Linked DNA regions of Drosophila melanogaster. The protein of the gene in region 2 interacts with the protein of the main gene of each other region in a pairwise test. Each region holds a gene or a part of one and is shown on either strand. Other genes may lie near its edges.

Evidence for each region.
Region 1: the proteins of Prp6 (region 2) and AP-1-2beta interact in a two-hybrid assay, tested with the Drosophila melanogaster proteins (one large-scale study listed by BioGRID).
Region 3: the proteins of Prp6 (region 2) and CG6357 interact in a two-hybrid assay, tested with the Drosophila melanogaster proteins (one large-scale study listed by BioGRID).
Region 4: the proteins of Prp6 (region 2) and DEF8 interact in a two-hybrid assay, tested with the Drosophila melanogaster proteins (one large-scale study listed by BioGRID).

Annotation. Positions count from the first base shown.
Region 1 is NC_004354.4:19,728,225-19,736,621, reverse strand, and holds AP-1-2beta (adaptor protein complex 1/2, beta subunit), read right to left. Parts: upstream 5,619-8,397; 5' UTR 5,533-5,618; intron 5,248-5,532; 5' UTR 5,223-5,247; coding exon 3,798-5,222; intron 3,733-3,797; coding exon 2,392-3,732; 3' UTR 2,041-2,391; downstream 1-2,040. Other genes in the region: CG14234 (uncharacterized protein), read right to left, coding at 547-633.
Region 2 is NT_037436.4:18,903,413-18,912,055, reverse strand, and holds Prp6 (pre-mRNA processing factor 6), read right to left. Parts: upstream 6,685-8,643; 5' UTR 6,563-6,684; coding exon 6,465-6,562; intron 6,398-6,464; coding exon 4,879-6,397; intron 4,798-4,878; coding exon 3,844-4,797; intron 3,797-3,843; exon of another isoform or gene 3,771-3,796; coding exon 3,546-3,770; 3' UTR 3,513-3,545; coding exon of another isoform or gene 3,266-3,512; 3' UTR 3,082-3,265; downstream 1-3,081. Other genes in the region: Ir75d (ionotropic receptor 75d), read left to right, coding at 874-1,087, 1,370-2,075, 2,172-3,032, 3,266-3,512; CSN1b (COP9 signalosome subunit 1b), read left to right, coding at 7,262-7,294, 7,367-8,643.
Region 3 is NT_033778.4:13,836,592-13,843,308, reverse strand, and holds CG6357 (uncharacterized protein), read right to left. Parts: upstream 3,257-6,717; 5' UTR 3,232-3,256; coding exon 3,004-3,231; intron 2,935-3,003; coding exon 2,665-2,934; intron 2,605-2,664; coding exon 2,335-2,604; intron 2,277-2,334; coding exon 1,992-2,276; intron 1,929-1,991; coding exon 1,662-1,928; 3' UTR 1,566-1,661; downstream 1-1,565. Other genes in the region: Syngr (synaptogyrin), read left to right, coding at 1-25; CtsL2 (cathepsin L2), read right to left, coding at 4,091-4,820, 5,262-5,590.
Region 4 is NT_037436.4:12,129,385-12,135,777, reverse strand, and holds DEF8 (differentially expressed in FDCP 8 homolog), read right to left. Parts: upstream 3,633-6,393; 5' UTR 3,556-3,632; coding exon 2,802-3,555; exon of another isoform or gene 2,750-2,801; coding exon 2,025-2,749; 3' UTR 1,944-2,024; downstream 1-1,943. Other genes in the region: CG5645 (uncharacterized protein), read left to right, coding at 1-829, 890-1,053, 1,119-1,902; Lsp2 (larval serum protein 2), read right to left, coding at 4,263-6,368.

The DNA.
Region 1 (8,397 bases), on a different chromosome or scaffold from region 2:
ATAGAATTAATTAAAAGGGGAAAAGGAATCGTTATAATCCTTAAAGAACTTGACGAAAAGAACTCTCTCCTAAAAAAACCCTATTTGACTAAATTTACATTAGAATATCAATTAAGGATTATAGTTGAAGTAGTAGTAGTAGTTCATAGTAGTTCTATATCAAGCATAGTTTAGAAAGTATAAACATAGAAACATAAGCAATGAGCAACCTATAAAATAATACGAAATATGATCTAAGGATGTACACATATTGTATTTAAAGGGACTACGGATTGTTTACAGCTGGCGGAGTTTTACCCTCCCCAGATCCGATTACAAGGTGGAATAAGCCTTCGGGAGCCTGACAGGGATGCACATGAAGCTCTACATACATTCGCGTCCTCGCAGTGACAAAGCTGTTGACACACAAACCCCACTTATACACATTATACTCGACACTTTGCATATTGTAGTCTCGACTTAACCTAAAAAGCGTGCAAATATGTCGAGGGTTTGGGAAGAGGGGTTGATGGACAAGGGCGGTTGCGAGGGGCTGCTGATACGAACCTTGATGAGAAAGGGCCAGTCCAGGTGGGTGGTGCTCATGGAGTCCTCGCTGCCGTAGTCATACACCATGTCCGCCGCCACCCTCATTCCGGCGGACTAATTTTTGGCGGACCCTTCTCAACGGAATCTGCGATCTGGTGTACTCGATGCTCTTGGTCTTGTCCTTGTTGTTCTGGTTCTTGTTCTTCTACACAGCACTGGCGGATTGTCCTCTTCGTGGCGTTGTTTCGTGTTGGTTGCTCTTCACTGGCACAAAAGGACTCCGCATTCCTGCACCGTTCGCAGGGGCATGGTTGGTTACACCTATGCCTGTACACCTATACTACCACCTGGCTGGATTGACTGCGAAATAGGGCGTAGCACCTGGATGTCCTTTTGCAGCGAGTGTCAAGCGATCCTGCGGCCAATTTACTGCGGGTACATTGCAGTATTTGCACACATTTTCGCACTGCGACGTGCGATACGGATTCGTTACAATCGGGGCCAAGCCAGAATAGCTTGTGGTACAACAGGAAAACAGTGGAGCAGGCAAACAGTCAGTGTGTCCTGTGGCCACGACAGGGATGGCTACACGTCCACGTCCTCGATGGGCAAGCCTGTCCTCTCTTGCGCTCTCGTTGGTCGCACAGGCATCCAAACAACCCCCGAAGGGTTCGCGCGAAAGCTTCGAAAGCTCAGGCGCCGAAGCTCGACGCCACCACCCATCCTTCGCATCCCTGACCAGGTATACCACATTCCGCTTATACCCTTAACTGGTCCACTGCTGTCTTGATGAGCCCATTACAACCATTGCTAAGTGGGTGCCTCAGTTAGTACCAATTGCTGCAATCTTTCCACTGACCAGCATGATCAGTTGGGAATCCATTATATATATATATATATGTATATCCTTTGCATACAACATGGTTATCCCTGTAAACATGGAAGCAAAGCTTTGGGATATGGTTTGACTCCTCGGTAGCTTCGATAGCTTTGGGTGTCTGTACAAATCGCTACAGAATGCTCCACTTACATACGTGGGCCAATGTGGGCGTGGCCATAGTTTGACGCAAAGTTGATCTGCGCGGGAAAAGCGCTTTGCAACTCCTATCTGATGGATTCTATATTTGCAGCAGGAAAACCTCTTTCTCCTTAACGAATTTTCAAGTAAATATGATATTTCAAATCTAACTTTTGAGTTTCAAGCCTAGTTTTGGATTTTAATGATCCTAAATATTGATCAATATATTGACTTTTAACCTAACTGATGCAATTATTTTCTCAGATCTTCGACTTAGAAAACTTACTTTGATGCACTTTGACTTTGAGCTGAAAGTATAAAAATCTTTCAGGCTTACGAACGGACAAATATTATAATACACAGTTTTAATTATAATACTAAAATCATAAATCATAATCATGCGTATTTGGAACCTTGTAGAAATGACCATTGAAAGCGAATAGAAACTGTGCTTAGTGCAACTGCCGTCGAGGAAAACAATGTCACAATTATTTAGTGTTTCGCATTTTACTAGGACACAAACATATACATAGATGCCGACCATAGGACATATGGGGTTACAGAGTTTTGGAATGCGGTTATGCAACGTTGCTATTACACGTTAGTACACTGAGTGACAAGCAGCTCCGATTAACAATTAACAGATCTCTCGACGAACCCGATTGGATTTTATATGTGTGCATATGCATAAATAATATATGTAGGTGGCGATTCGGCCAATACACAATATAATAATAATACGTAAATTTACAACTTATTGTTGAGCTAATCTTCAACACACGCAAATCGATAGCTCCAATTGCTTTGTGCTTATCCTATGCCATCGGATGTGCGCCATGGAACGCTTATGGAGAACGGATGATGGCCTCGTAGGCGGCGAAGATTATGTTGGCCACCTCCACGGAGCGCGATTTGAGGCTGAGAGTGGCTTCCGGATTGCCCGGCTGCAGCTTTAGCTCCAGCAGCACCCAAATGTTGTTGGTCAGCTTGAGTGACTGGTAGAGCATGTCCTGGCCCTCGACGTTACGCTTGGCGATGGTGAAGATGTTGTTGGTGGTCATCTTGGAGGCGATGCCGTCGGTAGTGCCAATTACACCGCTCAGGGTGTACTGCAGTTCGTTGGCGGCGGGGATCTCCTTCCAGGTGTTGAGGAACACGCGCTTGTCCAACTGCCCATCCTCGGCGAACAGCACGTTGCCGTGCACCAGGCACGCGAAGTAGAAGATGTCGATGTTGTTCTTCACGGCCACCTGCAAGTTGTTGAGCGGCTCCATGCGCTGAATGGGTCCGTTGGTGCCCAAGGCCATGCTGACCTCGATCGATTGGTTGGGTGGAAGGGGAGCAGCCTGCATGGGCGACGCGGGCACCAGGCCGAAGCTGTTCTTGTTCAGTTGGATGGCGAAGTTAGTCATCGGCTGCATGGCTTTGTTGGTCAGAGTCATGTCCATGAACACCTCGCCGTTGCGGCGTGAGAACGTTCCTTGTATTTCGAGTCCCTTGCCCTTCTCCGCTGGCAGCCATGTGACCTTGGGAATCTGAACACCCACCGATAGCGTTGCTCCGCCCAGTCCAAAAATGTCGCCTAGCAGGCTGGTGGCACCGCCGGGAGCCGCCTCTGCTGGCGGTCCACCGAGGAGTATATCAAGACCGCCGCCCAGAAGGTCCACATTGCTGGTGGCGGCCGGAGCAGATGGCATGGCGGGTGCGTTGATATCCATGGAGAGCAGATCTCCAATGAGCGACTCCTGGTTGGGAATGACCATTGCCTCTGAGCCGGCTGCGTTTTCTGCTTGCTCTGCACCAGCTGCAGATCCAGCGGCTCGGTTGGGCAGCGACTTGCGCACACCGGCTCCGCGACCCTCCACGAACGCGGTGGGAGGCTTATGATAAACGCTGGCCAGCGAGCTAATGTGGCAGATGAGCTCGTCCAGCAATGTCGGCTCCAAAAGGTCGGTCTCCTCTGAGATGAGTGGCTTATCGGCCAGCACCACCTCCTTGGCGGCGGCCGGGTCCGTGGACAGGAGACGCCAGTAGATGAAGCCACGGTCACGCAGATCGGGGTTGTCCGAATCCTGGGTAGCCAATGATAGTACGTGCTGCACCAGCTCCTGGGTGTCCGACGGGCGCTTGAGGAACAACTTAACCACGGCCGTCAGCAGCTGCAACTGCACCTGTGCATTTTCATCCTGGCGAAAGAGAAAATAGCAATTCAAAGTCCTGATAATGTTGGCAAATCCAGAGAAAAACTTACCTGGAATCCTTCAAGGAAGCTGTCAAGCAGCTCGTCCGCGTTGTCAATGCGCTCTGCGTACTCGCCAATGATCCAAACCATTGATGCGCGTGCCTCCGGCTCGTCCAGAGTGTCCAGATTCTCGCACAGCGTGCTGATAATGCTCTCGTACTTGTTGGGGTACTTGCGGAAGATGTCCTTGATGACCACAATGGCCTCCTGCACCACGTAGTTGACCTTGGTCTGGATAAGATCAAGCAGCGTGGACACGCAGCGTTCGGCTGAGGGCTCCACCTTAATGGCGCATCGCCCGATGGCGCGGACTGCCTTGCGCACAAAATCCACGTCCACCTCGGTGGCGTACTCCTTCAGCTCGCTAAGCACCTGGGCGATGTTGCTCTGGTTGGCCAGGCGGATCATAATGTCTAGCTTCTCCAGTTTCACGTAAATGGGATCGTTGTATTTCACGAAGAACACCTTCATTTCGTGCTTGAGAATGTCTGGCCGCTTCTGGACAATCAGATTGATGTTGCGCAGGGCCACATACTGCACCTCCGGCTCTGAGGAGAGCAACGTAACCAATGGCGGAGCCAGCTTCTTGGTGAGCGTGGCGCAAAAGTCGCTGTCGCTGGACAGCATCTCGAGCAACTTCATCAGCACCTTGACGGCGCTCAAAACGACGGCGGCGTTGGCGTGAGCCAGACGCGGAGTGATTCGCTCGCAGATGGACTGCGCCTCGCGCTCATCCTTCGGGCTGTAGTTGGCCAGCGAGTCCAGGATAAAGACCTGGCCCCACTCGGTGCACTCGTTGAGCGCCGTCAGCAGCTTGTTAATGGTGACCGAGTTCATCTCCACGAGGGGCTGGCCGGACTGACTTGCCTCGTTAATCTCGCTAAGAGCGGCCACCGCATTGGCCACCACCATGGGATTCGAGTCAGATAGCAGATCCTTCAGTTGGTCCAGAAAGCCTTGGTCCTCCACCATTGTGGCTGAAATGTCGTACAGCTTGGCCACGCACACTGCGGCCGTCTTGCGCACATACGGATCCTCGTCCTTCAGGCACTTGCGCAGCGGCTCGCACAGGTACTCGGTGATCTTGTCCACCCGAATGCAGCCCATGGTGCGCACGGCCAGCGCCCGGATAAGCGGATTGGAGTCCTCGCAGTCCTTCACGAACGTATTAACCGCCATGATGGCCATGTCCGGCTGCGATTTGGCGTAGTTCATCAGATAAAGGTAGACCAGCTTCTTCAGCTCCAGGTTGTCCGTCTGCATGCAGTTGACCACGTCCGGGAAGAGGGCGGACACGTCTTTGCCCACGGTCATGCTGGCGATCACCTTCTTCACCGCCTCCTTCTTCTTCTCCTTCTTGTCGTTATTCAGCTCCGACTTGAGCTCGAAGATCTCGCCCTTCTTGGTGGTGGTGAAGTACTTGGAATCAGTCATCGTGGCTGCTGCTCCTAGCTGCGTACTGAAATTGGAATCGAGATTGAGTTTAGAGAGGGGAACGTGGAGTTTCCGGCACAAGAAGTGCGATTATTGATTGCAATCCCCCCTCACAACACCACACCACATCTTGGGGGCGGAATCATCCGAATACCAACACATTCGCCCCTATCGCAGCTTGAACACGTCTCAAAAGGGGCCCGATTTTCGGGATGACTCAGAACTGGCCAGGGGAAAAAGAAGCCCTCAGTTGGACTGCGCCTATGCCCACTTGGGGAGACTTCTGCCAACGCAGCTTGCTTTTAATTACCTTTCAAATAGTTGATTTTCGGGCACAAAGATTTGTTAGCTTTTCTCTTCTATCTGCAATTAGTGCGACCGTTTACAGGGGAGTGACTTGTCGAAGCGCTGGTATTTTTTCTGTTTAGTATTTTGATAAATCGATTAGTTTTTGCGATTTTATCGCAAACTGATGTTTTGTGTTATTATCGAAACATTTTTAAATAAGTGGGTGCATTAAATTCCTTTTTTTTGGAAATTGGTGTTGATCAAGGTCAACATATCCTACTCGTAAAAGAGCTCAGATTAGGAAAATCATGCAGAAGATTTTTCCAGATATAAAATAAAGGACAGCCAATGAAGTAAACTGAAATCTCAATGAAAAACGAAGTCGACGCTCTCACCAGAGAGCAATATAGCGAATTAGAGTGAGATGGCTATATTACATCTGAAAAGTAACGGATCGTAAAAGCAACAGGCTAACTTTGTTATTTATAATAATGTTATACAAAATTTAATTTTCAATTGTATTTACAAATTATTTATGTTAAAAAGTTCAATATCTTCACCTAAAATTGATGTCAATATCCTTTTTCAATATTAAATTAGAATGAAAGACGGCAGTAACATGAAATAGAATATTTATTTCAATAAAATGCGCTCCTTTAAGTCTGAAAGGAAAGTACATTATGTACGAATGTTTTAATAGAAATTTTTAATTGTTCGATGCCTTATCAAAAACCGAGACTTCCGTGATCCCCCATTGAAATAAACATAATTGAATATCCTAACAATTTTATTTTTTAATATTCTCAAGAAATATCATTTAATAAGTTATTAACACATAAAACAAATCAAGAGTAGTATTGAATTAAAAAATGTTTTGTTTTCTTATATTTTAACATCATTTTCATTTCATTTGCTTTTTATCGATCCATTGAAATATATATATACATATATATATATATATATATATATCATCATTTTCACATGGGGATTTTCCCATATAAATTGTATATTAATAGTTGCATATTAACTTCATTCGCTCACGACTTTCTCATCACTTGTATCCTCTTTTCTTCTCCTCACTTTCATCTATTTTTTTTTTTTTTTTAATAAATAAGTTCGGAATAACTTTAAAAATTTTGATGTTTCATTAGTAAAAGTTGTAAAGTTCGCTATTACACCTTAATTATATACACGTTTAAATAAATCATATTCCAGTAATTCAGTCTTATGAAATAAACAAAAACTTAGGTCCGGTATATTCAGCTGGAAAATCAATCAATAAGAAAACAATCGTCCAAAGCCATTTCGAATCAATAAAACAATGAAATGCGGATTATTCCGATTTCGTTTTTTTTTTTTTCATAATCAGGCTTGGCTCCTAAGTGAACGGTCTTCTTCGTCCTTATCTTCGTTTTTATTGCTGCTCTTATTGTTGTCCGGTTCTTTTTGTTGTGTGCGTGTCTATGCGTGTTTGTGGATGCGATTAGGTTTGTTCGTCCTCTGCCTATCCAGTTTTTCTGATTCTGAGTGAGCATAGACCTTGGAGTGGATTTTATCCTCCGTTCGAGGGATTAAAAAAGTACGGAAACAATATGTGGTAGTGAAATGCATACTTTTGTTAACGGAAGCTTCTGGTTTTCCCTTTACACTTATCAATATATATATTGCACGTTATGTTGACTTGGTTGTTATTCGCTTTAAATTGGAACTGTAGAAAATCTATTAAAACTATCATATTCCCATAACATTTATCTTAATTTGGTGGTATCGAAAGAAACGAAAGGTGGAAGAGCGAGCAGCTTCAGCCCGCAGTTACTGGATTGCCTGTACTGTAACATTTGTCATTTGTTATTGGTATTGCCTATTTATGTGGGTGACCGTACATATAGTACGGATAGTACGGATTGTAACTCTTCGGAGCGCACACTCAGCGGATAATTGAGAGCCCTTTTCGCCGATGAGCACTGTAGTCCGCATAAGGAAATGAGCAAAGTTTGACCCAACTTGGTAACTAACGAAAGCAAAACATGGAACGGGACTTTAGCAATTGGTTATCGGCGATCGGTGATCGGGTATCGAAACTATCCGATGAATGTGGGCTCGCTGAGCTCCGTTACGTTTTGTATATCAACTTTAAGCTGTGTGGTAGGATATGTTATTCATTAGTTGTTACATTTGTATCTGAGTTTCGTTTCCCTTAGTTGCATTTTTCTAGTGTCTTGTTCATAAAAATATACACCTTTGGTAGTATGTACGTATAAGTTGTGTATGTACAAATCGTGTTCGGTTCTGATGTTTTGAAGCGAGTAGAGGGAGTCCTGGTGAACAAAGGCATAGATAAATATTACGTGGTGCAGGACCGTTGGGTGGCACTATATCTTAAGTAGTTGGTCCGGAAAGCTCCTCTTCGAAAACCCTAATATTGAGTGAGTGGAACATGGAACTCGTTTAGTTTCGGTCTACTGGTTCAAGAAGTGCATGGTGCATTGATTTGGCACTCGAAATTTAACAGATTCAACGGAAATGAATGGACTCGAACGAAATACATACATACATAGGTTGAAATCAAGAATCGAATGTCTTAGACGGTACGTTTGTTTTGTATATAAATAGTGTTCTTCTCTGTTGCGGGGCTAGATCGAAAGATCGAGGGCTAGCCCTAGGTTATTGAGTTTTTGTTGCAATCTTTGATATTCGCTATTCGGATTCTTTCCTGTACAAAGTCGTGAAGTACAAAAGGAATAAATTATCATAAGTATTATTATTATTATTAAAAAGGTTGATTTTGCTTTAACTTGCCATACTTGTAATTTAGCTAAAAATAGTTATGCATGGTTTGCTTGTACATAGTATATAAAGTGGAAAAAAGTATGCTTGTACTTGTACA
Region 2 (8,643 bases):
ACGCTTGATCAAATTTGCTTATATTTTGCCATCTTACTTTTTGCAACAGCTTTCTTAATTGCTTCCTAATGCCTTCATGCCTTCGGGCCAAATACAGGCTCTTAAACTGATTTTAGCTTATTTAAAGTCAGATTTATAAGGAATAATTTGCATGTTTAACTTTTCTAAAAGCTAACTTTTTGAGGCTGCGAAAGATTAATTTTCTCTTGTGCGAGAATTCGAAATTAAATTAAAATTTTAAATAATTTAGTTACTAATATTCAAAAAAAATCATCAAGAATATTTTTATTACAACTGGTAATTTATGAAGTAATTTATGAGTAATTTATTTACCTACATTTGAAAACAATTACTGTTCTCATAGTATAATAACCAATTCACCGATAGAACCAAGTAAATTGGCGAAATTAAACCCTCTGCAAAACTTTCCAATTCCTTTTGGCCCTAACTTATGTGCTTATCCCAAAGCCAAGTCCAAGTCTAGAATGTCGAAGCAACTTTCTCCGTTCCGGTCGTCGTTGACACGTAATTGACTTTGTCCGCACTTCCACGCGGACAATTTGTGCGCCACTTGCTCGGACCAATTAAACGCCATCGATGACCAATTGCAGTTGTCGCAAAATTGCTCGCGAAGATTGCCCTGCGTAATGACAGCAGATGGGTGCACGTGGATGTGGACGTGGATGTGGACCGAAAGGAAGCGCAGCGGAGTGTAATCAATGCATAATTTTAATGCAATTCTTGAATGCAATTACTGGCGACTGCCCTTTTGGCTATAAAAGCCGGGGACTCCAATCCGTGAAAAAAAGCGCGTCGGGGAAATGCAAAAGCGAAAGGACGGACAGCAACTCGTTAATACTCGCAGTCGCAGTGATGAAAGTTCAAGTCGCGCACTGGCTCCCTCTGATATTTTTCCTGCTCGTCAGTGGGACACCACGTGTCGCTGGCAGCTGGCGGAGCGAATATTCCCGGCAGGATCCGGACCCGAAAACACGGTGGGGCAATCAGTTGCCGGATATGCTAGTCGCTTACTATCGCCACCACGGCGTTCACAGCCTGATGCTGGTCGTTTGTCACACGGACATTGGTGAATTAACCCTCTGCATGCAATGTGCTGCTGGGGACAAATTTATGACCCCACAGTACACTGGCCAAAATGAGCTTAGGAAATCCATATCTCACGTTTGAATTTGCCAAAGGCCTAATTTCACTTAATCCTTATTATTTGAAGTTGGTCTGAGCACATTAAAACCATGCTACTTACATAAGCAAAAGTTTTTACATTAGATATACCGTTCCATACTTCTAGACACCTCTATTAATCGAATACTAAATTTTGTTTTCTCTGTACTCGTTTTTTCCCCTCTAGCGGATTTTCGCCTTTGGAAGCTTTGGCAGCACTTCAACCTCAACAATTTCTATGTGCAGGTCAGCACGGAGAGCTCGCTGAGGGACCTGCAGCATGTCGATGCCCTGGATGAACATAAGGACGCTCCACCGCCGAAGAGTTTCCACGCCAACAACTCCACCCACTGGGAGACGTCCTTCCTGCTCCCCGCATTGCCATACAAAATGGGCATCCTGCTGCTGGAGTTCAGCAGCGAGTGCGCCTTAAATCTACTCCGCTGGTCTGCGGCCTCGGAACATAATTACTTCACCACCAACCGGTTCTGGCTGCTCCTCACCGAAGATCCAGGCGATATCGATTTACTCGAGGATCCGGAAATATTCATTCCCCCGGATAGTGAGTTGCGGGTCCTTCATTATGAAAACGTTGGCAACTTCTCTTGCAGTTTAATCGATCTATACAAGGTAGCTGCTTGGAAGCCTTTGAAAAGAACCTTGGTGGGGCACAACATTCGAAATTCGCGGCACGTCATTCATGCCCTGCAGCACTTTGGTTCGGCCATAACTTATAGACAGGATCTGGAGGGCATAGTATTCAATTCGGCCATAGTAATTGCCTTTCCGGATCTATTCACTAACATTGAAGATTTGTCGCTGAGGCATATTGACACTATATCGAAGGTTAATCATCGCTTAATGCTGGAGCTGGCCAATAGATTGAATATGAGGTTAGAAGGATTTCCTCTTGTTGTCTTTTTAGATCAAAAACATTATGGTTCTTGAGTATATATAAATACACAGGATCGAACACTTTCCATTTCCAGCTACAATACCTACCAAACAGTGAACTACGGATGGCGACAACCAAATGGATCATTCGATGGTCTCATGGGACGTTTTCAACGCTATGAACTGGACTTGGCCCAGCTGGCGATCTTCATGAGATTGGATCGTATTGCATTGGTCGATTTTGTGGCTGAGACTTATCGAGTGAGAGCTGGGATCATGTTTCGGCAGCCACCTCTCTCGGCAGTGGCCAATATATTCGCTATGCCCTTTGAGAACGATGTGTGGGTGTCCATTTTGATGCTACTGATCATCACGACCGTGGTCTTGGTTCTGGAACTCTTCTTTTCGCCACACAACCACGACATGTCCTACATGGATACACTAAATTTTGTTTGGGGTGCTATGTGCCAGCAGGGTTTCTACGTAGAGGTGCGGAACCGATCGGCGAGAATCATTGTCTTCACCACATTTGTTGCAGCTCTCTTCTTGTTCACCTCGTTTTCGGCCAATATTGTGGCCCTGCTGCAAAGTCCGTCGGATGCTATCCAGTCATTGTCTGATCTGGGACAATCGCCTCTAGAAATCGGAGTTCAGGACACGCAATATAATAAAATATACTTCACCGAGTCCACAGATCCCGTAACGAAGAATCTTTACCACAAAAAGATCGCGTCCAAAGGTGAAAATATCTATATGCGCCCCTTGCTAGGAATGGAGAAAATGCGAACCGGCTTATTTGCATACCAGGTTGAACTCCAGGCTGGTTACCAAATCGTCAGCGACACCTTCAGCGAGCCGGAAAAGTGCGGATTAATGGAACTGGAGCCTTTTCAGCTGCCCATGCTAGCTATTCCAACAAGGAAAAACTTTCCTTACAAGGAGCTCATTCGAAGGCAGTAAGAATATTTTATATATAAACATAGTTTCGCTTTCCAATTGCATTTTACATTTAAATAAAATAGGTAATTTATTAAATTTTATACTAAAAATCCAATAGTAATTTAAACGTGTAACTAATCAAAATATGCCTAATTAAAAATTTTACAGGGATAAAAACCCTTTTATAATTTACAATTCAATAACTTGTTCGAAAAGAGGAAATCATAAAACACTTTGTTTTAACCCACAGACTACGCTGGCAGCGAGAAGTAAGCTTGGTGAATCGCGAGGAGCGAAAGTGGATTCCTCAGAAGCCCAAATGCGAGGGCGGAGTTGGCGGATTTGTCTCCATTGGCATTACAGAATGCCGGTATGCTTTGGGGATCTTTGGGTGTGGAGCTGCTGTCAGTTTTGTCCTGTTTCTTTTCGAGTTTATCTTCAGACACTTCAAACAAGTTTATCGCATAATTAAAGGCTATAGAGAAGTGCAGCGCTAGGCTCCACGCGTTTAATCCAAACACACTTAAAACTTAGATGGGTATGGATAGCTCCCGGACAACAGCACGCAGCACCTCAGGTGTCTTGAACTGCCAGTTCTGGATGTTCTTGCTGACCCGACACCAGGACTCGCCGTGCGTGGGCTCTGCAGAAATGCACCGATCGAGGACCTCCTGCTGCTGCGCCTCCGTGCCGTGGAGTAATTCGAACTTGTAGAAATATGCCCAAGCATCACCTAGATCTGGATCGATCTTGACCTGAAATAAACAAATGATTAGCTCTGAACATGTTTGTTTCTATTACATTTAATAGGTAGTATAAATTACTTACAGTTCGATTAAACCAGTCTCGGCACTTAGAGAACTTGTGCTCAGACCAGAACAGTTTTGATACAGCTAGCAGCACATGTGGATCGTGCTCGCATTTCTTGAGAGCATCCACTGACTTGGTCTTTCGCTGCGGCTTGGTTTCCATGAAGATAGCCTCCGCCCATAGCTCACCAGCGTTGGGACATTCCTGCAGTGCTCTTGCCATCATTGTGCTGGCAATCTCCTTGAGGCCCGCACGCAGCTCCACCCTGATGGCCTCCAGCCAGAGCACAGCCACTTTGGGGTTGCGTAAACGTCCTCGTTCCAGAATGGATCGAGCCTTCGTCAGCACTCCTTTGCGCTCTTCTAGATTGGCGGAAAGAATCCAAAGTGGGATGGACGTAGGACACTTTTTCAAGCCCAGAGTATAGGTGGCAGCCGCATCATCTGTCCGTCTCTGCTGCTCCTCAATCTGACCCTTCATCATCCACAGTTTGGGGAAATCTGGGAACACTTCCACCGCCTCCTCCAGCAACCGCAGAGCTTCGTCGAACTTTTCCAAAGCCCATTCCAGGCGAGCTGATTTCATCATCACCCTTGGTGTCGGTGCCGATCCTCTAGCCTTGGCTAACAAGCGTCTCGCCCGCTCATATTCCGAGTTCTCTGATTCCAACTTAACGGCAGCCAACCAAATGTCCTCGGAATTGGGATTGGCCTGGAAAGCCAAGGACAAAATGCCTCTCGCGGCTGGAACGTCTCCAGCCATCCATTTGGATTTGGCCCCCATCAGCCAGAGAATCTCCGATTTAGGACAATGAGCCACGGCTCGCTGCAACAGGGCCTCCAAAGATTCGCGGGTGCCATGGTTCTTTTCAAAGTAGGCGGCTCGCAACCAGATGCTTTTCTTCGAGGGAAATATTTGGAGGGCATGAGCGTAAACAGCTCGAGCACACTCAAATGCATTTTCCTTTGCGCACTGAAAGAGGGAAAATATAATACGGTTATTTTGTTCCAAAAATGTTACAAATTTGAAAAATGAGTGTTTCTTAATACTTACGAATTCAGCATCATCAATCCAAGTCTGCTTGCGATCCTCCTCCTCCACTCCTATTCCAATGACAGCCTTAACAATGGATTGGCAACAGTTGACTGCTCCTGATTTTTCCGCCTCGATGGCCTCCTGGAACCACTGATCACGGTTGATCTCCACTCCGTTGACGGTAAGCGAGGTCAATGATCGATCAATGATCTTTTCCACCATGTGAATATTACCATTGGCCTCCTCCAACTTAGCAGCTGTGGTCCAAATCTGGCGATCAGTGGGAATATTCTCGCGAGCCTTGTTTAGAACCTTTCGGGCGTTCTCGTAGGTTTCCAAGCGGGCGAGAGCCAACCAAAGTTCAACGCTGGTGTTGCAGCACTCCACGGCGCGAGAGAGTAGAATCCGTGCATCATCAGGATTCTCGAGTTCCACAGCCGCCTTCCACAGACGAACTGAATTTGGAATATGCTCTAGAGCTTTTCTGAAAACTCTACGCTTAGCTTTGGTCTCCGATTCCAGATCTGCGGCTTTAATCCAGATCCTGACCGAGGTAGGAATATGACGAGCCGCTTGCGCGATCACCGCTTTGGCTGTATCTGGCGGCTGAAGGCGAGCTGCTTCCAGCCAGAGATCCTCAGACTGGATGTTCATTTCGCAGCCCCGCATTATCAGATTCCTCGCCATCTGAACCTTGCCAGTCACTTCTTCCAAACGGGCGGAGGCAATCCAAGCTGGTGGATGGTTAGGATTCGTTTCCCTCACACTCTTGAGCAACAAACGAGCCTTCTTGATGTCGTTTATGTCACCACCATAAGTGGGAATCATACTCTGCAGGTCGGTGAGATAGCCCTTGGGATCCACCACCGTTTGGCCTGTCACGGAATCGGAAACCTGCGAAAGCTTGACGTTCATAAGAGTGTTACGAGCCTGGCCAATCTTTCGCAGATCAAGATCACCCGTAGGTGTCAGCATGCCTGGAGTAGCTACGCCAGGCACCATAGAAGCCAAGCCCGAGGACGGATCCAACGTAGAGGACGACTCGCCGCCAAGATTTCTGGATATCAAGCTGTCCGGCAGAGGGGTAAACTTTTCGGCCCTTGGATTTCGTTGCTTTCTGTTTCGACTGTCGCCCACTTCAGGAATCGTGGACCACTCCTCCGATGTGACACTGGCCAGTGAGCGTTTCAGGTCACTGAACTGCTGCTGGATCTTCGGTCGCTCCTGGCGGTACCGCTCCAAATCCTCACGCAGCCGGCGATCACGATACTCTTTGCGCTTTTCGTCCATTCGCTTGTCTATCGAATCGTAGATAGCGTCCGCCTCCTCGTCATCCTTGTCGTACGGATCCTTGGAGAACAGGGAGCCGCTGTAACCACTAAACTCGTCATAGTTTGAGTCGTTCAAGTCTTCGTCCTCCTCCTCCTCTTCGTCTTTTTTCTTACGTTTGGTGGCCGGCGGAGCATGGCGGTCGTCGGATACATCGTTTGCATCACGGGCAGGACCAATATCGGACCGAGTGGTGAATCCTGTCGCTCTAAAATAGAAAATATACCATTAGCATTAAGTTTTGCTTTGCGAGATGCGCGTTTGGTAGTACTTACCCACGACCGACGCCGGCAACATAGCCCAATGGGGCTGGGACGCCCAGGAAATGCTTTTTGTTGCGGTTGGCTATAACCGCCGCCGTTATGTTGGACATCGTGGCTTAGTTCTATATTAATATTATCTACTTTATTTAATAAATTTCACAAACAATTGAAAGTTTTCTAATGCGTGGTGCGCTTCTTCTTCTGAAATTAGGGATGGGAAAAATATATCAATTTATCGATATATTAAAATAAATGTAAATATTTATATCGTGATAGTTTTTCTATGATATATCAAATATCGCTCTTTCTGTAAAATATTTTATTGGACACATGTGGATTCATAAAAAACTGAAAACTAAGTTATTATTCTTAAAGGATCACTAAATTATTATATTTATGATGAAATATCTGATGATAAATGATAATATATTATGAAATGTCAAGAATAATTTGTTTGGGTACTTTATCATTTTGATAATTTTTTTAAATGAAAAGTGTCTGATAACGACCTGTAGTCGCGGATTATAAAAGTATTTGATATCGGAACTTAGCCTAAAACCAACTATCTTTGTTAAATATTTTTAAACTGATATCAGTGTTATTTTTTGTTATATTATTTGTTGGAAAAGTGGAAAATGGTCTTCTACCATACAGTTGTCATCTATCGATCAAAAGCGTTGTTCACATTGTCCATCTCTAGATTATCGGTGTAAAATAATTTGCGAATCGGAAAAATTAATTGACGAATAAACAAAAACGTAGCTTAAATTTTTCATTTTCCCTGGACTTTCGTTGCAAATAGAAGCAGGATGCCCGTGCTGCCGATGCCACCACTCATGCAGGTAAAAAGTAACCAAAAATGCGTTATCTGAAGCCATATAATCAGCAAAAATCGCTTATTACTCCAACAATAGAACGCCGTGGAGCCGATGCAAGTGGACATCGCGCCGCCGAACGAGGACAACGAAAACAACGAGGAGCAGCAGATTGTGGTGGAGAACCCCAGCATCGATCTCGAAGTGTACGCCAACCAATATGCCGGGATCGTGCGGCTCCATCGCCTAATTTATGTGGCGGACGTCTGCCCGGTTTTAGCCGTGGAGGCTCTGAAAATGGCCATTACTTACGTTCAAACCACCTACAACGTAAATCTCTACCAAGTGCTGCACAAGCGCTTGAGTGATCTAAACGCTGGAAATGCGCCTGCGCCACCAGCAAATGCTGGCGGAGATCAGGCAGGAGCAGCGGCTCCCGGTCCCCTGGCAGCTGCTCCCCTTCCGGATATCGCGGCACAACCTGTGGCTCAGGCTCAAGGACAGGCTCAACCCGCTGTCGAAAAGGATGCCTTCGCCTACGATGCCGCTTGGGTAGACACCAAGATGAAGAAGGCGGCTCTTAAGCTGGAGAAACTGGACTCAGACCTCAAGAACTACAAGTCCAATTCGATCAAGGAGAGCATCCGGAGGGGCCACGATGACCTGGCTGACCACTACCTCAGTTGTGGCGACCTCACCAATGCCCTGAAGTGCTATTCTCGGGCCAGAGACTACTGCACTAGTGGCAAGCATGTGGTAAACATGTGCCTTAACGTGATCAAGGTGTCAATTTATCTCCAGAATTGGGCCCATGTGATGAGCTACATATCCAAGGCGGAAAGCACCCCGGACTTCGCCGAGGGCTCCAAGGAGGCTAATGCCCAGGTTCATACTCGCCTTGAATGCGCTGCTGGTCTGGCGGAACTGCAGCAAAAGAAATATAAGGTGGCCGCTAAGCATTTCCTCAATGCTAACTTCGATCACTGCGACTTTCCCGAAATGATCTCCACCAGCAATGTGGCGGTCTATGGTGGCCTCTGCGCCCTGGCCACCTTTGATCGACAGGAGCTTAAGCGTCTGGTCATCGCCTCTACATCCTTTAAATTGTTCTTAGAACTGGAGCCCCAACTCAGGGATATTATTTTCAAGTTCTACGAAAGTAAATACGCCTCATGTCTGACGCTTCTGGATGAGATTAGGGACAACCTGCTGGTTGACATGTACATTGCGCCCCATGTAACCACTCTGTATACCAAGATACGCAATCGCGCGCTAATCCAGTACTTTAGCCCCTATATGTCAGCTGATATGCACAAAATGGCCATGGCATTTAACTCGTCGGTGGGCGATCTGGAGAACGAGGTGATGCAGTTGAT
Region 3 (6,717 bases), on a different chromosome or scaffold from region 2:
GGAGTACCAGCAGCCCACCTATTAAGGAATTACCACACTTGCTCCTCCGTTGTCCGCACACACTCACTTCGATTTTGTAGTGCAACTGGCAAGGATTTACACGACTAAACAGCTACAACACACAAGTTGGCTTTAACCATATACACCGATGTCGAACATATAACAAGAGTAACCAAAACAATAACACTTGATGCAACAAGCAGGCAGCAAAAGCAGCTGAAACCAATCCAAGCACTGGCTTTAGCTATTGGAAGAGTCAAGGGATATATCCAAACCGATCCGATCCGATATGAGATCGGATGGGATGAGATGGGATGGTTCGGATAAGGAGTAGTTTGAATAACTCGTAAGCTAGCCCTTTAAGTTGAGTGTGCAGTTTTTTGTAGTGGAAATTTGTTGCAATATATATATATATATATATATATATATATATTATACAGATATACAACTAGTTATATATCCCATATGTATACATGCAGACCGCGCTTTCAACGTTGTTAGTTATTTAGTGTTTACGTGTACGTACCATTTGAATTGATTTGAATTGATTTGTTTTGGTGCCAGACCCTGGTCCCCCCGATGATCAGCTTGTTAGCAATGGCAATAGCTCGAGACAGAGGAAAACATGATGTTTTTTTAGATAAATTTACACACGTGCAGTGCAAATAGTTGATGCAAATAGTTGATGCGATTCGGCCACCTGAAGGACATACATATGTACGAACCACACTGCTCAAGCCACATATCCAATTTACCATCTGAGATTTACCCAACAAATATAGAACCTGTGGCCAGGGTCGATGCTTGGTTAGATGAGCAGCAAATGCAACCACTTACAATAAACGCCAAACAATATGTAAATTCTAAACCATAAGAGATTCAATAACCGTAGAATTGTTGTGAGGGATTCAGTACTCGGGAGATTACTGCAGGAATATTTCTAGTTATGGTTCGCAAAAACACGCTGAAGATATGAAATGGTATAGGGCTTGTTCAAGGCTTACTGTTGCCACCCCCTTCCTACCAAAAGATTTGTATAGTAACTATAAATGCCCCAACAATACCCATTATGCATTGTAAAGAAGCGGTGTGTTGTCCACTTCGATGTACTCAGATATCAATGAATGTAAACATATTGATTACATAAAAACGTTCACTTAGTGCAGCAACTTGCGATAACCTACAAATGTATTTGTTAAATTAAATACTATATACATATATATTATATATATTTACGGATTGTATGTGTAATACGAATAATGCGCCCTGTTAAATGCAACAAGGAGATAGGGATCTCAGCAAATATACAAGTATAAATTAATCATTTAGAGTTCGTGTGCGTTATAAAACAAAAAGGTAGTGAAAGAAACATAAAACAAAATTTACTCATTTAAAACTTAATGATCGATTTAAATAGCGAACCCAGCCATAAAATCGGCTTGAACATTTGCGAAACACTATTGTAATAGATAAACTCCTCAAGCAAGATTCTCAACTGGACAGCCCCTCAAGAAATAATAATAAATACATATTTTTAAAAATTAACCCAAAATCACTAAGGTATTCTCTTTGCGTTAGTAGCAATATTTTTGCGTGTATTTAAAAGGTGACAAACATTTCATCTGAAAATGTACTCGGTACAATATCTTATCATCTAGTTTTTAAAAAACATTTTTTTTGTATTTCTTCTCCTTGCTTATTTTTGTAGTCGTTTCTTCTTTTGAAAACTCTGGAGCTAAATTAGGTCGTTGTTTGGTTTTCCACTCTTCTACAGTTAGATCACTCCACTGATTTATGCCCTTCTTGAAAGATTCCACTCCCAATTCGAACTGCTCATTGTGTTCCTGAATCGCTTTCCAATTGTCGCAAAATATAGTTCGGCGTTTTTCTGTTTCTTTTTCATCTTGATATTTCGCACCGAAATCAATCTGTAATAAAGATATATTCATTCAAATTCTCAAATTCTATTTACATTGCAAGCCAAATATTACCAAAAACTTTTTCCATGCTGCCTGACATGTATTATCATCCCTCTTATCCTTAGATATTTTTGTAGTAGCTTCAACTTTAGAAAACTCTGGATTAAAAGCAGGTCGTTGTTTGTTTTTCCACTCCTCAACGGTCAAATCACTCCACTGATTTATACCCTTCTTAAAAGAAATATTTCCCAAATCGAATTGAACATTGTGCTTATGTATCGACTTAAAGTTGTCGCAAAATACATTTCGTCGCTTTTCGGTTTCAGTATCATCTTGATAAGACGGCTTAAAGTCAATCTGCAATTGATAAAAGCAACTTTAATAAAAATTCTTTAAATACCCAACCATATCTTACCAGGAACTTCTCCCAAGCCGGCTGGCATATGATATTATCATTATCTATTTCGGATGTAGATGTAGTGGCTTCTTCCTTACGAATCTCGGGAGCAGGACTAGATCGTTCCTCAATAGTATGATCAGTCCACTGATTTATGTCCCTCTTGAAGGGCTCTGCCCACTTTTCATACTGCACATTGTGCTCCACAATCGCCCTCCAGTTTGCACAAAATACATTGCGGCGTTTCTCGGTTTCATTTGCATTCTTATACTGCGCTCCAAAGTCAATCTGTAATTCATATCATACATATTAATACCAAGTTGGTTTTAATAACCTAGCTAATCTTACCAAAAACTTTTCCCATGCAGCCTGGCAATTGACTTTGTCTCGCTCCTCCTTTGATGATTCACTAGCGATTTCTGGCATAACTTTGGGAGTTTGTTTCTCTTTCCACTCTTCAAAGGTAAGATCACTCCACTGGTTGATACCCTTCTTGAAGCTGACAACTCCCAAATCGTATTTCAAATTGTGATCGCGAACTTTTTGCCAATTTTCGCAGAATATATCACGTCGCTTTTGCCGTTCGTAGTCATTATCGTAGTGTACATCAAAGTCGACCTTGGAGTGTATACAAATAACTTCCTTGAACGATACCCTTTCTTGGAATTATGCGATCAAAAAACTTACCAAGAACCTTTGCCATGCAAACTGGCATTCCTCCTCGAACTCAGATAAGCCAGAGGTGTGTTCAATTGTGGGTGTCGATGAGTCAGCGTCGCTTTTCCCAGTAGTAACCCCAATCTCTGGATTGATTTTTTGTGTAGCAGGTGATGATGTGCTTACTGGTACGCCCAGAGCCACGCCCATCAAATACAGGAGCAGTGGGACGCCAAGTAAAATTCGAGCTGAGGTCATCTTGAACACTTTTCTCGTACTGCGCTCCGCACTGCCAGAATCGCGAATTATATGGGGAATACATACATATATAATTGCAAGTACTCAAAATCAGCTGCATTCAGAGAGAAATCTAAATAAAAACCGACAACGAGAGCGATTTCTTTTGCTCTCTTTTCTCTTAAGTGTTGATCTTTTAAAAGAGTAACTGCATTTACGTGACCTTGCCCACCAAATATATAACAACTGGCATAATTGCTTTATGATTTGTTGCAATAGTATTGAATTAAATTAATTTGAAATTTAAGCCCCGTTTTTATACCCATTACTCGGCGGGAATACTAGGCTCGTTGATAGGAATGTAACAACTACATTCTAGATATGTATGTGTTTTCCACACAAATGCTGTAAACAAACGTTACGCTGCTTGCAGCTTTTTCTGATTAACGGGTATGCATTAGTCGTGACACCCGACTGTAGCGTTATTTCTTGTTTATATTAAATTTGTCGCAAATTTACACGGTTATACGGTTATGTGTGCATTGTTCATTTTCTATCCACTTTGCCAAATTGAAATTTATTACTTTCTCAAACAACTTCCCACACAGCGTTGTTCTTCATTAAGAAAATGTTTCTCAAAAAATAAATAAGACCGAAAATTAATTTTTGTGTGCATAGCCGTTAAGACTACGATCCAATTTCTCAGAATTTCCCCAGAAAGCAACACAAACCGATAAGGCACTTGTTTCATTTATTAACCGCGTGACTCATGGAATCGATGTGGTGACCCACACAGCTTACGACTACAGTAACAAAGTTATAAATTCGTGGTTTTTAATTGACTATACTATCTAACTAATTGCATGGCGCAGTTGTGAGCCTACAGAATGGGGTAGCTGCACTCGCTGGCGATGCCGCAGAATCCACCTGCATTCCGGAGGATGCGCATAAAGCCGCCCTCGCCCCAATTCTGAGAGTACGAGTTCTTGATGATCCAGTAGTCGCGTCCATTTTCCGTTCCATAGCCCACCACGGTTACCGAGTGATTCAGTTCGCCCTGATTGCACTCCTCGTCCTCGTAGATGCCACCGCTGTACTGCTCAAACGAAATGGTGTCCGCGTTCATGGAGCACGCCAACGGTCCCAACGTGGCAATCACCTCCTTCATCTTCTCCTCATCCCCGGGAGTAATGGTGGCATAATCGCGAATTTTCACCAGACTCTCGCGCGGTGGACGTCCGGCGGTTTCGTTCTGACGGCACTGCATCTCCGTCTGTGTGTACGGATATTTGTTGGCCAGCGTTACACCGTGATCGCGTATGTACTCGAAACCGTACTCCTGGAAGCCACCGTCACAGCCCATGTTGCCGTAGTCATCGGCACAGTCCACCAGATTCTGCTGCGACAGCGAGGCCAGCACTCCAGTCCGCCGGAATAGATGTCCTTCGAGCGCTCCTGTGGTGGCGAACGACCAGCAGGCACCGCATCCCACACCCTGGAATCCCGGTGGCGTCACTCCGCCCTTCTCGCGCCAATCGAACATCTCGGGAAGATTGGCACTCGCCGGATTCCTGGCAGTCACAAAGTTGATATGGCCATTCGTATATCTCCTGCAAGGTAAGTAAAACATTTTAGTATTCCGTTAAGCAAAGATTAAAGCAAATTAGTAGCTTACTTAAGTGGCAACCAGACTACATTTAAATGTTATTCATAATGTTCTTAAATGTATGACAAACAACCGATAAGTTATGAAACATTTGTTATGGAGCTTCGTCGTAATAAATAAGTTCGATATGGAAGGGTTTTGTTTGTTTCCACCCATTTGGTTATAGTTTTCGGGAAACCACAAACCTATGGTCGGAATATTTGATCAATTCTGATTTCTTGATTAGCATAACCGGGAAACCAATCGGCACCTACGTAACGTTACAAATCATATGGACGACGATACCGAAACCCGTTTGAAAGTTATAAGCTGGGTGATAATTCGTTTATGGCCAAAAAGGGGACTTCCCCCGAGCTCTAGATATGCGTAAGATGGTGCTACTTACTCGCCAAATTCGGAGATTTTGGAGCCCAGCAAGGTGGCTATCTCCTTTCTGGTCATGTCGGCCAGCGTATTGACGCCCAGCCGGAATCCGGACACGCCGTTGTCGGCGTTCTTATTGCTCAGCGTGATCAGCGACATCTTGGCCGCGAAGATGCTCTCGCGATAGACTCGCTCCTCATCCGAGTACACCTTGCCCGTCTGCCGGAGGAAGTCGTCGAAGTTTTGCACATCGCAGAGCTTGGGAAACGACTGCAGTTGCTGCAATGACACAGCACCCAGCAGGGCCAGTCCCAGCGTCATCTGCAGCCACATCGTTGAGCACATCCGCATCTGGAACGGTGGACAGCAGAGCGAGTGGAAAGCGTTAGGTAACCACTTGGCCAATACATAGTTACACCATCCCATCCCATCTCATCGCATCCCGCGACCCCTTTTCATGCCCCTTTTCTTGCCACATCTATCTGTCAACGTTAATCACTTGGCCGCAACTCGACCCGTTCATTCACCTCCAATCGAACCAACCTGCCGTGCAGATCGTGAAGTTTCCTATAAGTGGAGCCGCTATAAATATTTATTTATGGACATATTAAAAGCAACGTTGCTTCCTAGAAAATCTGCACAATTTGAAAACAGGCCACACTCAAAATCTATGCGTTTATTCGATATTAAAATGTTTATCCAGTAGATACTTTTTATTGGTAAATATTCAGTGGAGTGTCTTCATTGACATAAGAAATGATGTTATGTCTTTTTGAGTAATTTGAGTAAGTACAATGTTTGGCAAAACCAAAATAAAACAAAGAAACTAATAAATTGTTTGTTTAACAAGCTTGGTTTTGAAGAAACTAAACCGTTTAATGATCGCCTATGCAGAAATCAACATTGTTTCTAAGACAATCAAAAACATAATGATCGATTAAACGAATAAAAAACTAATTATTATTGGTTTTTTCTATCACGCTGACTATCCGCTTCTGTCAGCAATCGCGTTAATGGGTAATTAATCATGCGCTGTCTTAATTTCTCAACTTTATTCGATCTTACCAAATTAAATAGACTTTTGAAACTAGCAGAGCATTCGCTGTTCGTATTTCCGGTCTGTTTTACGAATTCGATCACCGATGAGACGTGAATAATTACTGGGTGAATGAGCTAATTTGCATATGCTTAGCATAATTACATTAGTGCAAGCATTCGATTCGGATGAATTTCGAAATGTATGAATGATTTCGCGGCTTCGTCTCTCCTTTTATTTCCTCAGCTCCCAAATTGGCTCCATCGAGGGCCCAAATAAATCAAAATCAAATCTAGATTAGGCAACCGCAGGCTAAGATTTCACTTTCGTTGCCATAAAATACTGATCACATGCTGTGCCCGGTGAAAGGCGATGGATTCCCCTGTTTAAAATCAAATTTCGAGTCGAATGTAAGCAATTGCAGTTCTCTTGTCTTCGACGG
Region 4 (6,393 bases), 6.8 Mb from region 2:
TGAGATCGTGGGCGAAGCTGCTCCGCTCTCCGAGGATGAGCAGGAACTTGAGAAGCAGGCAGAGTTTGAGCACAAGTACAATTTCCGCTTTGAGGAGCCAGATGCGGACTTCATAAAGCGCTATCCCCGCACCATCGAACAATCCCTGCGTCGCACGGATGACAAGAGGAAAGAAAAACGCAAGGAGCTGAAGGAGCGCAAGGATCAGGAGAAACAGCAAAAGATGAAGGAGTTGGAACTGGTCAAGGAAATGAAGCGTAAGGAGATCGATGAAAAGATACGCAAATTAAAAGCGGTCACTGGCAACGATGAGCTTGGTTTCCGGGACGAAGAACTCGAGGAGGACTTTGACCCGGCGGCCCACGATCGTCGAATGCAGGAGCTCTTCGACGATGAGTACTACAATGTCGATGAAGGCGAGGAGAAACCAGAATGTCCCTCGGATATCGATGAATTGGTGCTGGAAGATTGGGATAACTACGATCCTAGACAGCACGCCAATGGGGGCGGTGAGGATTATGAAGGACACTGCGAGGACGACGACTTCAACATGGATTGCGACTACGATCCGTCCACGGCCAAGGAGCAACTTCAACAAGAGCTCATCGAAAACACTCGTGGTCGCAAAGGACGAAAGGGTAGACGAAATCGCTTTATGGAAATGATCCAGGCGGAAAAGCCTGCATTCAATCCTGAGGACGAAAAGACGTACAGTGAGTACATCGATGAGTACTACCAAATGGATTGCGAGGACATCATCGGGGATCAACCGTGTCGATTTAAATATGTGGAAACCACACCAAACGATTTCGGTTTGACGATAGAAGAGGTACATTTTCGATTAGCTTCGTTAAAGTTGAACAATGATATTATATTTTCTGTTGAATAGATCTTGCTGGCCAAGAACAAGGAGCTTAACCAGTGGGCTAGCTTAAAGAAAGCTGTCCAAAACAGACCGGAACACGTAGAGAAAAAGGAGCAGCGTCTCTACAAGATGAAAGCCAAGAATGAAGACCTTAAGCGAAAGATATTTAAGAGTCTTTATGGAGAAGGGTGAGTAACTTACAATAAAATTTCGATTTCGAACGGGTGTGTATTAAAACTTGACTCTCATGCAGTTCTGACGATGAGGAGCAGCCAGCAGAAGAGAAACCAGAAGTGACACCAGCTGAAGCGACAGCTCCAGCCGAAAATGGTCAAGTCTCGACAGAAGGTTTGTCCAAATCAAAGAGGAAACGCCTGAAACGTAAGGCTGCCGCAGCAGCAGCCAGTGCTCCTAAGGTTCTAAAAGAAGAAAGTGACTCCAAGGATCCAAAGGAAGCGGATGGATCTACTGAAGATGTCCAGGCAGAAAGTTCTAAGAAAAAAGTCGATACTCCCTCTAAAAAGGGCAAAGATGACGCAAATCAGGAAACTAAAAACAGTCCACAAAGCACGGAGAAAACGAAAAACAATAATGCCTTAAAAAATAACAAAAAAGAGCCTAAAAACGTGCAAAATGGATTCCAAAAACCCCAAAATCAAGCAAATAAAAGTGCAAAGACAAAGTCGAACCAACCATTTAAAACTACGGAAAGTGCGCCTGCAAAAGCAGAAAAATCAAATGGTAATAATCCTTTCAATAAGCCACAATCGAAATCCCAACAAAGGCAGGAACTGCCACCAATTCATAAAAATCAAGGTGGAAACAAAAAGGGACCGAGAAACGCTAACGGCACCAATCCCTTTAAGAAATCAAACCAAAAGCCAAGTGCACCCTTCCCAGCTAAGAAAACGAACAACTTTAAGGCGAAAAACAAGCAAAATAACAATAGTGGAATAACCGACGATCGATTAAAGGCATATGGCATAAATCCCAGAAAATTCCACAAGCGGGAAAAATATGGAAAAAAGGATAACTAAAGAGTTATGATAAATCTAAGAATAAAAGTTCATATATAGTTATACATTTTATAGTTACATTTTATGTACATATGATAACATATTAAAAACCAACACAGCACAATGAACTCTGATTTGATCAGTTATTCTGCGGCAGTCACGTCATCATCGGTGGCCACTCCATCATCATCATCATCATCGTCCTCGGTGCTCTTCATGCGATCCAATTGAAGACGCCGCTCTTGGATGCGAATGCATTTGGGGCAAATCATATTTTTGCGCGTGAGGCAAACTCGGTGGAAGATGGAATTGCACTGATCACACTTGATGCAGCCATCGTCGAAGGGAAAGATCACCTCGTTGTTGCTACAAATCTCGCAAATGTACGCTTGGGCAAGGCACATGGGGCAGGATCGTATGTGATCATTGAATGCCTTGAAAACTCCTTGCAGAAATTCGCTCAGCGCTCCAGATTCCACCTGGCTGAGATCACTTAGGGAATAGAACTCATTTGACTGGGCCAGATGTCGCCGGACACCCAGTTGCTGATCCACCAGCTTCAACTCGCTGGCAATCTTGCAGGCAGCCAGATAGTGGCGCATATGCACCAGATTTTGGCGAAGTTTCTTTACCGCACACAATTTTTCTACGAACACAAACAGCTTGGGATTGTCCTCCTCCAAGCGAATGAGCGGTTTATTTAGGAACAACCTAATCTCTTGGAGCGCCGTGCGCGACACTCTGCGTGGCGAAAAGTCCCAATTGTGGATAATGCGGGCTGGTATAAAGTTACTGTCGTTCCAGTTGCAGCGAGGGCAGTAGTACAATCCACTATAGTCGCATAGACGCGGCTCAATCCAGGTATTTTCTACGAGGAAGGAGTCTAATTATTCGGAACCAAAAGAGTAGCCTTAACTTACTTATATTTAGCATCGTCCCGCACTCGGCGCACTTGTATCCCTGGGAGGCGAGTCCGATTTCTGGACATATCTCCGAAATGGGATGCTGCCGCTCTGAAACCAGGACATGGGCACAAACCCTCTTCACGCCATCGATGCACTTCTGATGGACCAGGAATCCGCAATCGCTGCACACGTACGAGTTCTGCACCACACTCCAAATAATGGTGGTGCAGTGGTCACAGTAGTTCCTCTTGGCGGCTGCCTGCAGACGATTCCGTTTGCCATGATGCGGGTGATGGGGCACAAAATGATGACCCACCACAGCACGTATGGCATTCATAACTACCATGTCCGACGATAGGGAATGCTGCTCCTGGGCCTCCTCCAGCTCCTGCAGTGAGTATCGCAAATCTACCAGGTGCCGCACCAACCAGCGACGCTCCTCGCTGAGTTCCTCGCTCAGCAGGACGAGATCTCTGCAATGGGCGATGGCCGCCTGCAAATCCTGGATATTGGCATCGCTGGTGAAGATTAGGCGCCATTGCTCGCGCACCAAGGACGCGGGAATGGGCAACGCCCTGTACTCCGCACCTTGTGGACCACTTTCCTCGGAGCCTCCGGCCTCGGATCCAGATCCAGTGGAGCCAGAGCCTCCAAGGCCAACTGTTGATCCCAGCGTGGATGAGGCGTGTAACAGGTTGCTGGCGCTCTCGTTAATCAACTGCGCCACCGTGCCCGGAATGCTCGTGAGACTGTCCTTCCAGGAGCTCATTTTTGGGGAAGAACAACAAAACAAGTCTTTGTGTGTTTTTTTAGCGACCAGGGATGCGAGCAATTGGTGCAGATGAGCGAACTAGTTATCGTTCACGGGGCAAACTGCAGGTGGTTGTACGCATCCCTGGAATGCACCTTAATACAGTGAAAGAAAAAATGTGAGGGTTAATTATTTATAAATATTTTGAATTTAACTTTTAATATTTTTAAAATATGATACAATTTGAAACCATATTCTGAAATATGTCAAGCGTGGTTTGCATAAAGCAAATATTTTTGTTACCATATTTTACCATTTAATATTAAATTGTAATTTAAGAAATCTAACAATCTATTGTGTTTATTCCAGATAAAAATGCCTATTTTTAACTTGAAAATTCGTCTGCTAAAAACTGTAGGCTTTAAAACTAGTATCAATAAGCCCTTTATTCTATTGTTCCTTCTATTTACATATATTCTGTAAGTAGAGGAAAATAACTAGAAAACCAAAAATATATTTTGAAAAATTGAAAAGAGAGTGACTTGTGTTGAATACGTTTATTGTTCGATGGTCACAAGGTGGACTGACAAGCTGGGTAAAAATTGAGTTAAATTACGATCTCTATGGGGTAAGTGGATGCAGACAAAGATATAACAAGGAAAACATATGTAATCTATCCAATATCGTTGGTTCGTTTTGGGGTTCGTATTCGTTGGGTCCAGGATCTAGACCACATTGGTGTGCTCGTCGCGATGGAAGATCTTCACGTCGACGAACTTGAAGTTGTGGACATCGAAGTAGTAGTCATGCTTCACCGGCCTGTTGAAGGGGAAACCGAAGGGCAGGGCGTCCACGTAGCGGGAACCGTGTCCCACGCCGCAGCTGACCACCGGATCGTAGCCAGTGAACTGGGCAACCTCGGGCTGGTGGTACGGGTAGACCATGTAGAAGAACTGGAACACCTGGCCGCCCTTCTTGCCGCGCGGCAGCATCATTCGGTTGGGCACGCCGCAATGGGCCTCCGACTGATCCAGCTTGAACTTGTAGTCACTGTTGGTGGCGTCCATCAGCTTCTGGTAGAGCTCCAGGTAGGTGGTGCGATCGTTCACCCAGAAGGAGAAGTCACCGCTGGCGCGCTTGATGTGGTTAACGCCCGCCTCCAGATGCACCTTGAAGTGCTCCAGCTCGAAGAAGTTCTGGTAGTTGTGCTCCAGTGGGATCTCGTGTCCGTGCTCATCGTACTTGGGTCCAATGAAGACCTTCACAACGGCATCCTGAGCCTTGTCCGAGGTCACGTCCAGGGTGAACTCGAAGGGCTTGTGGTTGAGACGCTGCTGGCGGGCCTTGATCACATAGCTGGATCCCTTGTAGTGGGAGTTCCTGCCGAAGGTGTACAACGGATCGGCGGATCCCTCAACGGCGGGCTCCACATTGACGGCATTGCTGATGTCCGAGTCGAAGTGCTCGAAGTAGGTGGTCAGACTTTCGGGCATGTGGACGGCATCGATGTGGACACCCTCGAAGGCGTAATCCTTCTTGTGGTACTCCGGATAGGTCTCCATCAGATGCCAGTAGTGGCTGACAATGGTCTTGTATACCTCGTAGAAGATCGGATCGCGCATAGAGGTGTCGTAGTGCATGAAAAGGCCAGGGAAGCTCTCGTCACCATGGCCATAATGGTGGCCCTCGTTCACAATGAAGCGGTACAGCTTGTCAAGACTGCCGTAGAACTTCTTGTCCACGCTGTCCGCATTGCCCTGGATGATGTTGCCCAGCACATTGATGGTCTCCACATCGAACTTCTCGTTCTTGTGGATCCAGTCCATGACACGCTGCGTGTACATCTCCACATGCTCGATGTGCTCGTAGTTGTGCTCGTGGTAGAAGCTGTGGTGATTCTCCCGGTGCCATTGGGGTACGCCGTAGTAGGTGCGCAGGTTACTGGCATAGCCGGATTCGGTTGGCACATACATGTTGAAAGCGGGCACCTCGCCGAGATCGTGGGACAGACGCTCCAGGTACCAACGGGCCAGCAATTGCCAGTGGACATACAGGTAGAGCTCACCGCGACGATCCTTGTTAAGGACATGCTCCTCGCCGCCCTTCGTCCAGAACGGATAGTCCAGATTGAAGTAGTAGTAGAAGGCATTGAAGCCAACATCCTCCAGGTAGTAGGCCAAATCGTGATCGTAGTTCAGGGAACCGTGCACGTTCGAATAGTTCGTACGGATCACCACGTTGTAGATGTTGTCCATCTGCTTGACATGATGGAAGCCGTGCATTTTGTAGTGCTCAGCCCATTCCAGTGCCTGGCTATCGAAGTAGCTCCATGGGTGGATCTCGTAGTGGGCCGGCAGGACGACTCCCTGCATATCATCACGGAACAAACTGGCAATGGTCACGGCGTACACGAACAACTGCTTGTTTACGTGCTGGCGGGCCCAGTAGACGACGTGCTGGAAGGTCTCCCAGTTCTTGGCGAAGTAGAAGAGACGCACCAGACCCACCACATACTCCTCGTGCTTGTCGTACATCACCGACCACACCATGTCATCGGTGAAGGGTTGGTGTTGCCACAGCTCGAAGAAGTGCTCCAACATCTCCGGGTGCACATAGTCGGCCACGTGCTCCCACGGCTTGTACTCCACGTAGCTGCCCCCGAAGGGCGTGGTGAACACATCGTCCTGGTAGATGTGCTGCAGGATCTGGTACATGAACTTCTGTTTCATCAGAAAGTCCTTGTCCGCCACCTTGGAGTCCAGGTGCTTGGCCTGGCCGAGAGTAGCCAGCAATGCCACTGCAGCTAACGCAATCACCGTGAACGACTTCATCTTCTCGAGTCGATTCGAATCGTAA